Rattus norvegicus: one gene and its partners. Each later gene encodes a partner of the first gene's protein in a complex. Links are inferred from orthologs where the notes say so. Each region holds a gene or a part of one and is shown on either strand. Other genes may lie near its edges.

Region 1 (3,649 bases):
GCTGAAGAGAGGCACTAGCCCTGCTTGGAGAAGGGATGCTCCCTGAGAGCCCCTGGCCTCCATTCTAGACTCCCTAAGAAAATGGGAGAAGAGGGAAGAAGAAGCCACCAGAGGCGAAGTGGCTCAGGCACACAGAAGAAAAAAGGGAAAAAAAACAGCCCTGAATGGAGCTGTCTACCCTAATAGGGGACTAGCAGACCAAAGGGCTAAAGCAAGGGTCCTGCTAGTTCCTGGGACCCACTCTTTGACATTAAGCACTTAATTGTGGACTACGCAGGTGAAACGGGAAAGCATAAGTTGCACAGATTGGGACATAGTATTACAGGTGGCCTTGAATCTGCTGCTCCTACTCTATGCACTCCATGACATGTATCTGTAGAGTGTCCATATCAGGAGCCTGATACTGGCACTTGGGACAACAGAAGTCAGGTGGTTCCTCAGGAGGGCTCCTCCGCTGGTTGGACAAGGCCAAATGAAAGGAGTGGTGAGCTGAGAAAAAAAGAACACAGGAGTATGATGGACTATGTAACTATTTAGCACAGCCTATGTAGGCCTAAAACAGAAAGGCTAACAAGGTGATGAGACTTACTGATACCACCATATTTGACTGCATAACTGGGAGCCACCTCTACAAGCATATTTTTCCTTTGACCTCAGACTGTGATGGGCTACTGACAGGAATGGTCAACAAGAACTCCCCAAAGCAGAGTAGCAGAGAAGCCAACACATGCTTCCCCTCAGCACAACATTCTGCCCTCCCTAACCATCTCCTCCCACCATCTACCACTTATTCACTCACCTGGAGCAGGGAGTAAAGGGGGCTGGGAAGTCTCTACATGCCGCTTCCTCATATCCTCAATCCTTTTGAAAACAGAAAATATTCAATCAGTGCCTGTAGGAATTTTTATGAATAAATACCTTCATTCAGATATAACTCACATACTATATACAATTCACCAATTTAAACAGTATTGTTAGAGGGTTTTACTCTATTCAGCATATTCAATCATCCATATAATTTTAGAATATTTTCATCATCTCCAAAGGAAACTTTGTACTTATTAGCAATTACTTCCTGGGTTCCCTGTATTAGTTTCCTCAGAACCTTGTTACAAACCACCACACATCTAGTAACTTCAAATAACAGAAACATGCATGATACAGGCGGCTAGGTGCCCTAAATCAAAGTGTCAGAGGACTGGGCAGAATTAGCCCTAGCTGGTGGTAGTGTACAGACAGCTTGATATTTCTTGGCTTGTAGCTGAATCCCAGAGTCTGCCTTGGCCTTCTTATGGCTGCCTTCTGTTATCTTAATTTGGTGCTTCTGTAAGTACCACAGTCAATTAATTAACCTAATGTTACCTTATATTAACTAGTTACATATACAAAGATTCTAAACCAAATAAAGTCATATTTTTAGGTTTTAGATAAATATATTTGCACTGGTTAGGTTTTGTTGTTGTTATTGCTTGTCAATTTGACAAAAGCTGGAGTCATCTGATCAAAGGGAACCTCAATTGAGTAAATATTCCCATTAGGCTGACCTATAGGCAAGCATTTGGAGCATTTTCTTCATTGATGTGAGAGGACCTAGTTCCCTAAGAGACAGCGCCACCCCTTGAGCAATCACCTAGGTTGTAAAAGAAAGCAAGCCATGGAGAACAAGCCAAAAAGTAGTTCTTCCATGGTTTTTACTTCTGTTCCTGTCTCAAGTTCCTTTCCTGACTTCCCTCCATGATTAACTACAACTGTAAGCTGAAATAAACCCTTCCCCACAAAGTTGCTTTTGGTCATGGTGTCTATCACAGCAATAGCAACCAAGCTAAGATAGACAATGTTACCAGATTTTTGTGGAATTGCTGAGACAGATCCAACCTGACCATGTTGTTTTGTGGAAGACTGTAGAAGGACTTTGGAACTTTGGGCTGGAAGTGCCATCAAGAGGTTAGGGCTTAAAGGGCTATTCTGTGGGAGCCAAGGAAGATAATAATGCTGACACCAATGCAAATGATGAAGTTTCAGAGGGAAGCAAAGATTCTATCAGGGTCATTTGTGTGGTATTCTGAATTAAGAGTCTGTAGTTCTGGTCAGCTGGGGCTGAAGAATCAGGTGTGATTAAAAAGAGATCAGCAGAACTGAAGTAAAACCTTTGCTTTATGAGGACAATTGATACTGGTTAACTGAAGCTGAGAAATTAGTTGTGATTAGGAACAGCATCACTGAGGTGAAATCTTTTAGAATCTAGAGAGTATCTCTTCAGGGTCAGCACAAAGAAGAGGGGGCCAAGTAATATGAAGGGATCATGGAAAGCAGCTAAAGTAAGGGCTTGGCATTATTTCAGAGGTCAGGAGAAGCTATTGGTGAAGGTACATCCTCAGCTGCAGTGGAAATCCTAGCATATTGGATGCCAGTACCATAAGACAACCACCAAGGAGAGCAGCAGCTGTGGAAAAGAAACAGGTTGAGCTTATAAGATGAGCTGTGTGTCCTGTGAATGGCAGAGGCAGAGAAGTAAGTATAGCTGCCCAAGACCTTTAGAGCACAGAGAATCATGAGTGGGCACCAGACAGCAAGCATCAACAGTGGGTTTTTTTTAACACTGTTGGATTTTGGTTTTGATTTGATTTGATTGTGACTGTGCCCTGGTTCTTCACTCTTGAAGTAAAAAAATATATAACATTATTTTATAGAAGCACAGTTGAGATTCTAGGCTTTTAAACTTTTTTTTAAAGAGTGATGGAATGTTTTAAAGACTGTGACACTTTTAAGTTTATATTTTATATTGTGATATTGACATGAATTGGAGAAAAAACAAGAAAGGAAAGGTTATGGTTTAACAGTGGAGTGTTTGTATGTCAAGCTGACAAGGTTGACTAGTCAACTTCACACAAACTGGCAAGAGAATTTCAATTAAGGAACTATCTACAATAAATTGGCTTATAGGCAAGTTTGTAAGGCATTTTTTGACTATGCTTCATTTTCTGCCTTCAGATATCTGCCCTGACTTCCCTCTGTGATGGATTATAAACTGTAAACTAAAATAAACCCTTTCCTCCCCAGCTGCTATAAGTTATTGTCTTTATCACAGCAACAGAAACCAAACTAAGACAGTATGAAAGCTATGAAACCTCCAGCCTTAGATACATCTCAATACATACATTTCTGTTACATTTCTAGTTTCCAATGGGAAAGGTCATTGTTGGAAGGACAGAATACAAAGAGAGCAGTAGAAGGAGGCACAGGGAATTTAATACTAATGCTAAGAACCATCCATCTCCTATAGTTACTACTGGTTGCTGCCTAGAGTACACCTCCTTTGTCTATGGCTGTGCTCCTGGCTGCACTCTTAGAGGCCCACCTGGCTGACTCATGGCAGCCAACTTTCAACTTGTTGAACTCGCGCTGCAGCTGCTCCAACTGCTCCTGCAAAAGCTCCTTCCTCTCCACCAGTTTCTCCCGGGCATGCCTCTCAGCTTGGAAGTCAGCCTTGTAGATGTCCGCCTGGCAAACAGAACAGAGGTGTTCACCCACCATCCATCAGCTTCCCAACAAGCATTCTATGCCATGTCCAGAGGAACAGAGTCCTGTCTTCTGGGATCCCATGATAGTACATCAGAAGCACACGTGAAAGCCTATGATCCCAATAGCA
Region 2 (3,649 bases), on another chromosome or scaffold:
TGGAAAAACTGCTGTGTTCTGGGGACCCCGGCTGCCACCTCAGGGCTGCCTTGGCTCTGCTCTCACCTTTAAGTTCAAGATGTCATCGAGGGCCCTGAAACAGCCATTGGGACCGTACTGGGGGTCCACGCCCCTTTGCCGAGGTTGCCACGTGAGCATCAGCTGAAGCCACTTCTCCAGACGCTCAGCCAGGACACTAAGGGAGCGAAGGGAAGAGAGGTCTGGGCTGGGCTGCCTTAGTGTGCAAACACCAAAGCACAGCCTTGGCTGACGGCCCAGCTCGAGGGAGCGGCTTGCTGTGCACACACAAGACCCTAAGCTCCATCCCAAAGACCACACGAGTGCTTATGTCAGACAAGCGGATTCTTGAGGAGTCAGCCAGTTCAGACCAGTGAGAGACTCTGCCTTGAAACAGAGAAGGTGGACAGTGCGGGAAGAGTGAGAGCCAAGGTCGTCTTCCAGAGCACGTGCACACTCAGAACACACGTGCGTGAGTGCATCCAAACACACATTTTAAAGAAGGCTTGAGTGTGTCTCAACACAACACACATGGTGGCAACCAGATAATTATCAAAAATGAAAATGAGAGAACTGAGAGAAAACATAGACACTTCCAAACGAGTTAACAGTTTAGGAACGGCCCCTCTCCTTTCCGACAGGGTCACCCCAGTAAACCTTAGAGTGACCCTGAGGCTTTGATAACGCGTTTGAGAGCTGGGTGGAGTGCTTGCCTGGCTCTGTGGTTCCCTCATCAGCACCATGTCTCTGTATGTACATGTGTAACTATGTACACCAAAGGATTTTTAAATTTCTTTATGATTTGTTATGAGTAGACGTCTACTTATGTACTTCATGTACTTACATTCCTGCGGTATATAAACATTCCTTACGGTTTGTTATCAGTAGATGTTGGTTTATACACTTTATGTATTTACATTCCCGTGGTATTAGAAACATTTCTTGGGACACAAAGGGACCCTACCTGCTGGCTGTCCTGGAACTCACTGTGCAGACCAGGCTGGCTGGTCTTGAACTCACAGACATCCACCTGCCTCTTCCTCCCCAGTGCTGGGATTAAAGGTGTGCACCAACATGCCAGGCTCCCAGTGAAAGTCTTAAATAGCTCTGACCTGGACTGACCACAGCTGCTGAGTTGAGGGCATCCAATGGGTGTATGTGCCCATGTTCAGACTCCTCCTACTTCCCCTACACTGGCCACGTAAGGCCAACCCTACATGACTCTGCTCTGTCTGATCTTTCCCCATCAACATTCCTCTACTTCATCTGCCCATGTCCTCTACATCTAACTTTCCCCTTCGTCCCCCATTACAGCACATCCAAAGTCGCTCCCATGGCTGTAGTCCATCCAACTCCTTCCCTGTCCTCCAACACTGCAGTAGTCATCCTGGGGCTTCCTTTGCTATGATCAATTCTGACTGGGTAGTGAGCTGCTCACACTCTAGCTCTAAGACTGGACCACAGTCACATTCAGACTTCAAAGGTTTGTCTGTTTAGGCCAGATGGGAACACAGAGGAAGAAGGCGAAATCCTGACCCTCCTTCCCATGGTGTAACAGAAAAACCCTATGCTCAGGTGAACTAGAGCCACATCATAGCTTCGGCTGCCAATGTCAAACCCACAGTGACCTGGGAAGAGGGGGCTCAGATGGATTGCCTCGGGAAGATGGGCAAGTTCGATGCCTCCTAAACATGAGGCAGGCAAGGCGCCGAGAGTTCGACATCTTGTTCCAAGGGAACTAGGAGACTGCTGACTTCTAGGCATCTAGGAGGAGCGTCTCCAAGCCCACCCCACAATGACACACACTGTCAACTGTCAGTGCTGTCAACTGCAACTGAGGCTGCACCTTCACCAGTGGCTTCCACGGCCTCTCACAGTGCCCAGCCTCAGCTGCTCTCCATGACCCCTTCATGCCTTCAAAACCAGTACCACCTGGGTGACTCTTACATATTACCAAGTCCAGCTGCAGCATGAGATGCAACCTTGGCTGTCTCTGGAACACAGCTTCTTTGTGCTCTTAGAAAACACTTCCCTGAAGTTTTCACCTAAGTGATGCTGGTCTCTTCTAAATCACCACTACTTTCTTGGTTCCAGGTAACCAGCATCAATTGTCCTAGTAGACCCCTGGGCCACAGGTGGTTTATCATAGCAATAGAAAAGGAACAGAAAGTAAACTAGAACAAGATCAATAAGGACAATGAGACAAACAAATAGTCTGTAAATTTAGTAAAGAGAGAGTCTAAGGGCTGCGAGTGTGGCTCACTAGAGTACTTGCTTGACCTAAACAAACCCAGAGATTCCAGCAGAAGGGGGTTGTGTATGACTTTAATTCTAGCACTTGGAAGGCAGAGGCAGGAGGATCTCCAAGGTCCAGGCCAGCCAGATCTACAGAGTGAGTTCCAGGACAGCTAGGGATACACAAAGAAACCCTGTCTCAAAAAAAAAATCAAATCCAAACCAAAAAACAAAACAATAAAAAACAAAGACAGGAATTTCATCTCCACCACAGCAAAAACCAACAACCCAATCAACCACCCAACCAAGAACTATCTACCCAACCAATCAACCACCCAACCAAGAACTATCTACCCAACCAACCACCCAACCAAAAAACTATCTACCCAACCAACCAACCACCCAACCAAGAACTATCTACCCAACTAACCAACCGCCCAACCAAAAAACTATCTACCCAACCAACCAACCACCCAACCAACCAACCACTCAACCAAACAACTGTCTACCCACCCACACACCCACCCACCCATCCACCTATTGAACCAAGCAACCAAGCAAAGAATTAAATAAGAAAAGATTTCTAGGGAGATGAGATATGGGAGTGCACCCCATGTCTAATGTGGAGATGGACTGGTCAAGTTCTCATCACAGAATGGTATTCTGATATCTGTTCAAGTTATCCAAGGGCCTGGAGAGGGCTTAGTGGCTAAGAGTGCTGTGTTTGGTTCCCAGTAAGGTTCACAAGGCAGATCACAATCATCCCTAACTCCAGTTCCAAGGGATCTGACTACTCTTCTGGCTTCCACAGGCACTGGTCACCCAAACATAAAATCAAAAGTATCAGCTGTTACCTCAACCCTGGATTTCTAAGAAGAGGAGAAAAGTATCTTCAGGACCGAAGCCCCACGGCCTTACCTGTTGAGATTATTGGGGAAGGGTAAGGAACTTGAGAACTTCACTGTTCCGTTCAAGTCCTCGCTAACAACAATGTCCACTTCGCTCTTCTGCCGGACTTTAGAGTGCCTGCGGGTGTCATTTTAAGATGTCCTTTATGTCACTCAGTGGCAAGTACCCAGCTTACACTTGTAACGTCACTTCACAACTGTATGCTTTTTAGAACAATGGTCCGTGTGCTGCTGGGATGCCTCTCCCAGGGTTTGTGAGTGGTCTGCACTGTGGTTAGGGGTTTAGCTCAGTGGCAGTGAGTGTAGCATGAGTGGCCCTGGTTCAGTCCACAGCATGTAAACAGAACGTGCTCGGGGATGTCCAAATGAGACCTTGCAGGACAACCTTGAGCAAGGTCACCCATGGCCTCTCTCCCTAAGTTCTCCAGGAAGCACCGTGGACTTCTATGTGGACGGCTTAAAAGAGACAACTCAAATCTGAGTAAGGC
Region 3 (4,175 bases), on another chromosome or scaffold:
CACCATGTAATAAGTGACTAAACCTCTGAAACTGTAAGCCAGCTGCAATGAAGTGTTTTCCCTTGTAAGAGTTGCCTTGGTCACATTGTCTCTTCATAGTAATAAAATCCTAACACATTAGGTATGGTAATATGAATCTACTGGTTCTGGTATTTTGAAAAATGAGGCAGGAATAAAGTTTGAAAACACAAATTTCTTTACTTTTTGGAGCTTTTAAATTGGATTCCTAATTTGAATCATGATTCTCCAAGCAAAAGGACTAGTGCACGCAACATTATCAATGTGTGTGGAAAAAGTGACGCTGTTGCTCAATATGTAGATTGCAGCCTCTAGGACCTCCAGAGAATCCTGACGTCAGTCGAAGCTCGGGTCCATTGCATTAAAGAGCACAGCACTTGCACAAAACTTAGATAAATCCTCTATCGGTATACGTTTAGTAGATGCTTCTCCTGCAATCCCAAGCCCCACCCTACCCACAATTATTTTCAATGTGTGGAAGGTTGAATCTGTAGTACTGAGGACAGAACCTAGGGCATGCATGTGACCACTAAGTTATATCTCTAGTCCATACATTTTGTTTTTTAAAGGTTCTTACTCTAATGGCCCATAGTGGCTTTGAACTGAAGGCAATCCTCCTGCCTCACTCTCCCACGGGTTCCTACCATGCCTTTCTATATTCTTTCTTTAATGGATTCCATGGAACTAGGTTTTTCAAATACCCCGAGGCAAAAGCCCTCTGATGTGGTGGTTTGAACAGGTCTGGCCTCCATAGATTGATGTGCATGAATGCCTGACCCACAGAAAGTGGCACTATTAAGAGGTATGGCCTCATGGGAGTGCCTGTGGCCTTGTTGGTGGAAGTGTGTCACTGTGGGAGTGGGCTTTGATGCTTCCTATCTCAAGCTGCATCCAATATGGAACATAGTCTCCTTCTGCAGCGTGAGGATCAACATGTTGGACTCTTGACTCCATGTCTGCCTGTATGTTGCTATGCTTCCCACAATGCGGCTAATGGACCAAACCTCTGAAACCAGTCCCAACTAAATGGTTTGCTTTATAAAATCTGCCTTGGTCATTATGTCTCTTCACAGCAATAAAACCCTATGACATCTTCCAGTGTCTAGGGTATCAAACTGTACTTATGTTTATTTCTGAAACACGGTCTATTATGTAACTGACACTGGCCTTGAGCACAATATGAAGACCACCTAGTTGGGTCTCAGCTCCAAATCCTCTTGCCTCAGAGCCCTTGGTACTAGGATTACAAGCATATGCCACCATGCCTACCTGTTCCGATGCCCATCTCTCTCTGAAATGGAAAGCTCCTTCAGGGTAAAAATAATATTCTTGTTGATTTGAGCACCATCAATGCCCGATAAAGCAATCAACTAAATCATTTCATGTCCTTCTTCCTGTCCTCAAAGGTATATATGAAATACTGGAACTATTTCTACCAGCTGAGTATACCAACCCTGGTAGGCCCAATCTTAAGGTATTACTAACATGTCTGTACTTGGCTTATTGTTTTTCTAATTAAAACGTATCCCTTGTGTATGATGCTCCAGAACACCATTTTTATTTTACTGTCCCTTTTGTAAACGTACAATTGATGGGGGTTATGATAACATGACAGTGGAGACCTATCAACCGACAATTACAGTGCCTACCTAGTACTTGCTAAGTTTCTAATGACATCTGACGTAACTCTCAAAGAGACCCAGAATGTATGTATACTCTTCTAAATATTTTACAGTCAACAAAAATCCTACACTGCAATGATTAGTATTCAAGGTCTATTCCCTACATCCTTCAGGAAAGCAAAAACCGTCAATAATAACGTGCTGGTTTGTACTGATAGGATTTTTCTGGAGAAAAGATGCATAATTTTTATTGACTTATCAAAAGACCTGTGACTCAGACATGATTAACTATGGCTGAGGATGAAACCCAATGGTCAACCATTTGCCTAGCATGTGCAAGGTCCTGTGTTCCACCCCCAGCATTAACAACAACACACTATCGTAAGTAAAGTGACTGTTGGTTTGAAAATCCTTTAAATGCACGAGTGACTGCCGTTGCAATGGTTACATGTTTTTCGATAAATCAAATTTCCTGAGCCTGACATTAGCTGTCTTCTAGAGAACAAATCCCTCACCTTTCAGTCTATTTCCTTTCCTCTGAAGCAAGGATCATTTTCATCGCCTTACTTACCTTCACCCACCCTGGTCTTTACCTGAAACGCTCCAATTCCAAAGTCCATCAATGTTTCCAAAGGTTCAACTCTGGACACTAGAAAGGTTCCTCGTCTATGCCAGTCTCCAGTGGATCACACCGCTCCCGAGCGAGTGTGAGCAGGCACCCGGCGACAGACAGACAGACAGACACACACACACACAGGCACACACAACACATAGACACAAACACACGCACGCTCGGGCACTCGACATGCACACAGACTCATCACCACACACAGTTGCGACAGCTCCCTGTCACTCACTGCCCAGGGACCTCAGACACACCTGGAACACGGCCACCCAGGCTCACAAGCACAGTATCACCGGCGCTCGCTCACTGCCCTGGCCCCAGCACTGCCCAGGGGCTAGACCACCTCCCCTTCCACCTTGACTGACAGCCCGTGTTCCAGGGACGCCCAGACAGACCCGGCGTCACTGCTCCCGCCTCCCGCCTCACCCGGTGCTGGTACAGACTGACGTTCCCGAAGCCGCCGGTGCCAAGCCTCTCCCGCATCTCCCAGGGGCCGCCGGCGCCAGGCCGCAGCCCCGGGGGCCGCTCCATGGGGCGGGAGCGCCAGCCGCCTCAGGCACTGCCACCAGTCCGAGGCCGGTTCCGGGCCGCCGAGGCTTGCGAGTCCTCCTTCTCGCGAGACTGCGTCACTTCCGCTAGCTTCCGCAAGCAAAGTCCCGCCCCGTGCGTCTCGAGTCACACTGGGATTGGTGCATACGAGTAGGCTGGGCACGAGCGGATTCCTATTCTGTTTTAAGTGCCCGGGCAACTTCCAGGCTGCGAGGACTATGGAGCGTGCTGTTTTTATTTTTTGTTTAGATATTTTAATTGGTTCTTTGAGGGTTTCATACAACGTGTTCTTATTTGAAAATAGATCTCTCTCCAAACCCTAAACTCCGCATTGTCCCTACCTTGCAAACATTTCATCTTTTTGAGAGTCCTGCCCTCTGCCCCTGGAATCCTACCACACTCGCTGGTCGGCACCGGTTAAGGCCTCCGTAAATGTGAAAGGAAACTGCGCTAACCGGCCTGTTGATTCATTAGCCTTCTAAGTCAGAGTCTCTCCTATAATTCCAAACCACCCAAGGATGTGACGTTATTCCTGAGTGAAAAACTCTTCCGGACTTTGTGAGTTTTCCTACCGACCTTACTGCTTATCAGCCTTGTTCTTTCAGATTTGCCAGGGAAGTGGTTCTGGATTGGAATTGATTCTGAAGTGGTGCCACATGACTGCAAAGACAAGCTTGGGGGAAGTCTCGGTCCGATAAGGCATAATACTTCTGAGTGGTGGGTTGCACAGGGAACGTCAACCCGCCTAGCCTTTTGAGTGGGTTATCCGCTTCTCTAGGTGTCTTGTTCTGAGACAGGATCTCAATACAGTCCAGCCTGGCCTAGAACTTGTTATTCCTCCATCTTTCTGAGAGTGGGATTACAGGCTTGTAGCACCCCACTGGGCTGAAGTCAAGGATGCTCATTGTCAGCATGCAATTCGATGTTGTGCATCACTAATAGTGAGTTGTATTCGATAAGCTGGTTTCTATTCTTTTCATGTCTTCTGTGGAATTGGAATATCGGACTTGAAGGTAATTGAAATTAGCCTCTGAGAGAACATCTCTAGAGGAGAGGAGACAGTCTAACAATATGAAGCCTCATTTGCAGTGTATGACAGAGATAGGCGTGAAAGGCATGCCCCATCTCCACAGATGGGATATAGATTCATAATAGTTTCATAAGAAGAGAGACGATGAAAACTCCAGCCAAGATAATGTTGACTGGGTTAATCAAGCTGGTTTCTACAGTCAGTTCACTTTAAATATTCTATTCTTAAAATGCAACTCAAAGTTTATTGATTTTTTTTTTCAAATTCTTGGGGCTTTGTTTTGTTTTTCTTTGCTTTTTTGTGAGTGTCTATGTAGCCTTGTGTCATTTGG

The links.
Region 2: the proteins of Ikbkg (region 1) and Ikbkb are in contact, whole or in part, in a crystal structure (PDB 3BRV), measured with the Homo sapiens proteins. The link is inferred for Rattus norvegicus from reciprocal best matches to the Homo sapiens genes IKBKG and IKBKB. Residues at the interface, in NP_001093327.1 of Homo sapiens: Arg62, Ile65, Arg66, Asn69, Leu72, Arg73, Arg75, Cys76, Leu79, Phe82, Gln83, Gln86, Lys90, Leu93, Met94, Phe97, Ala100, Arg101, Val104; in NP_001547.1 of Homo sapiens: Ser705, Leu708, Glu711, Ala712, Leu715, Cys716, Leu718, Leu719, Ala722, Ile723, Asp725, Thr726, Glu729, Gln730, Gln732, Phe734, Leu737, Asp738, Trp739, Trp741.
Region 3: Ikbkg (region 1) and Chuk share a complex: the UniProt entries of both Homo sapiens proteins name them as parts of the I-kappa-B-kinase (IKK) core complex. The link is inferred for Rattus norvegicus from reciprocal best matches to the Homo sapiens genes IKBKG and CHUK.

What each region holds. Positions count from the first base shown.
Region 1 is NC_086039.1:157,386,270-157,389,918, reverse strand, and holds part of Ikbkg (NF-kappa-B essential modulator), read right to left. Parts: intron 3,502-3,649; coding exon 3,359-3,501; intron 862-3,358; coding exon 800-861; intron 490-799; coding exon 347-489; 3' UTR 1-346. UniProt on the Homo sapiens protein: Regulatory subunit of the IKK core complex which phosphorylates inhibitors of NF-kappa-B thus leading to the dissociation of the inhibitor/NF-kappa-B complex and ultimately the degradation of the inhibitor.
Region 2 is NC_086034.1:76,056,495-76,060,143, reverse strand, and holds part of Ikbkb (inhibitor of nuclear factor kappa-B kinase subunit beta), read right to left. Parts: intron 3,280-3,649; coding exon 3,172-3,279; intron 197-3,171; coding exon 67-196; intron 1-66.
Region 3 is NC_086019.1:252,941,380-252,945,554, forward strand, and holds the start of Chuk (inhibitor of nuclear factor kappa-B kinase subunit alpha), read right to left. Parts: upstream 2,895-4,175; 5' UTR 2,797-2,894; coding exon 2,692-2,796; intron 2,642-2,691; exon of another isoform or gene 2,261-2,641; coding exon of another isoform or gene 2,234-2,260; intron 1-2,233.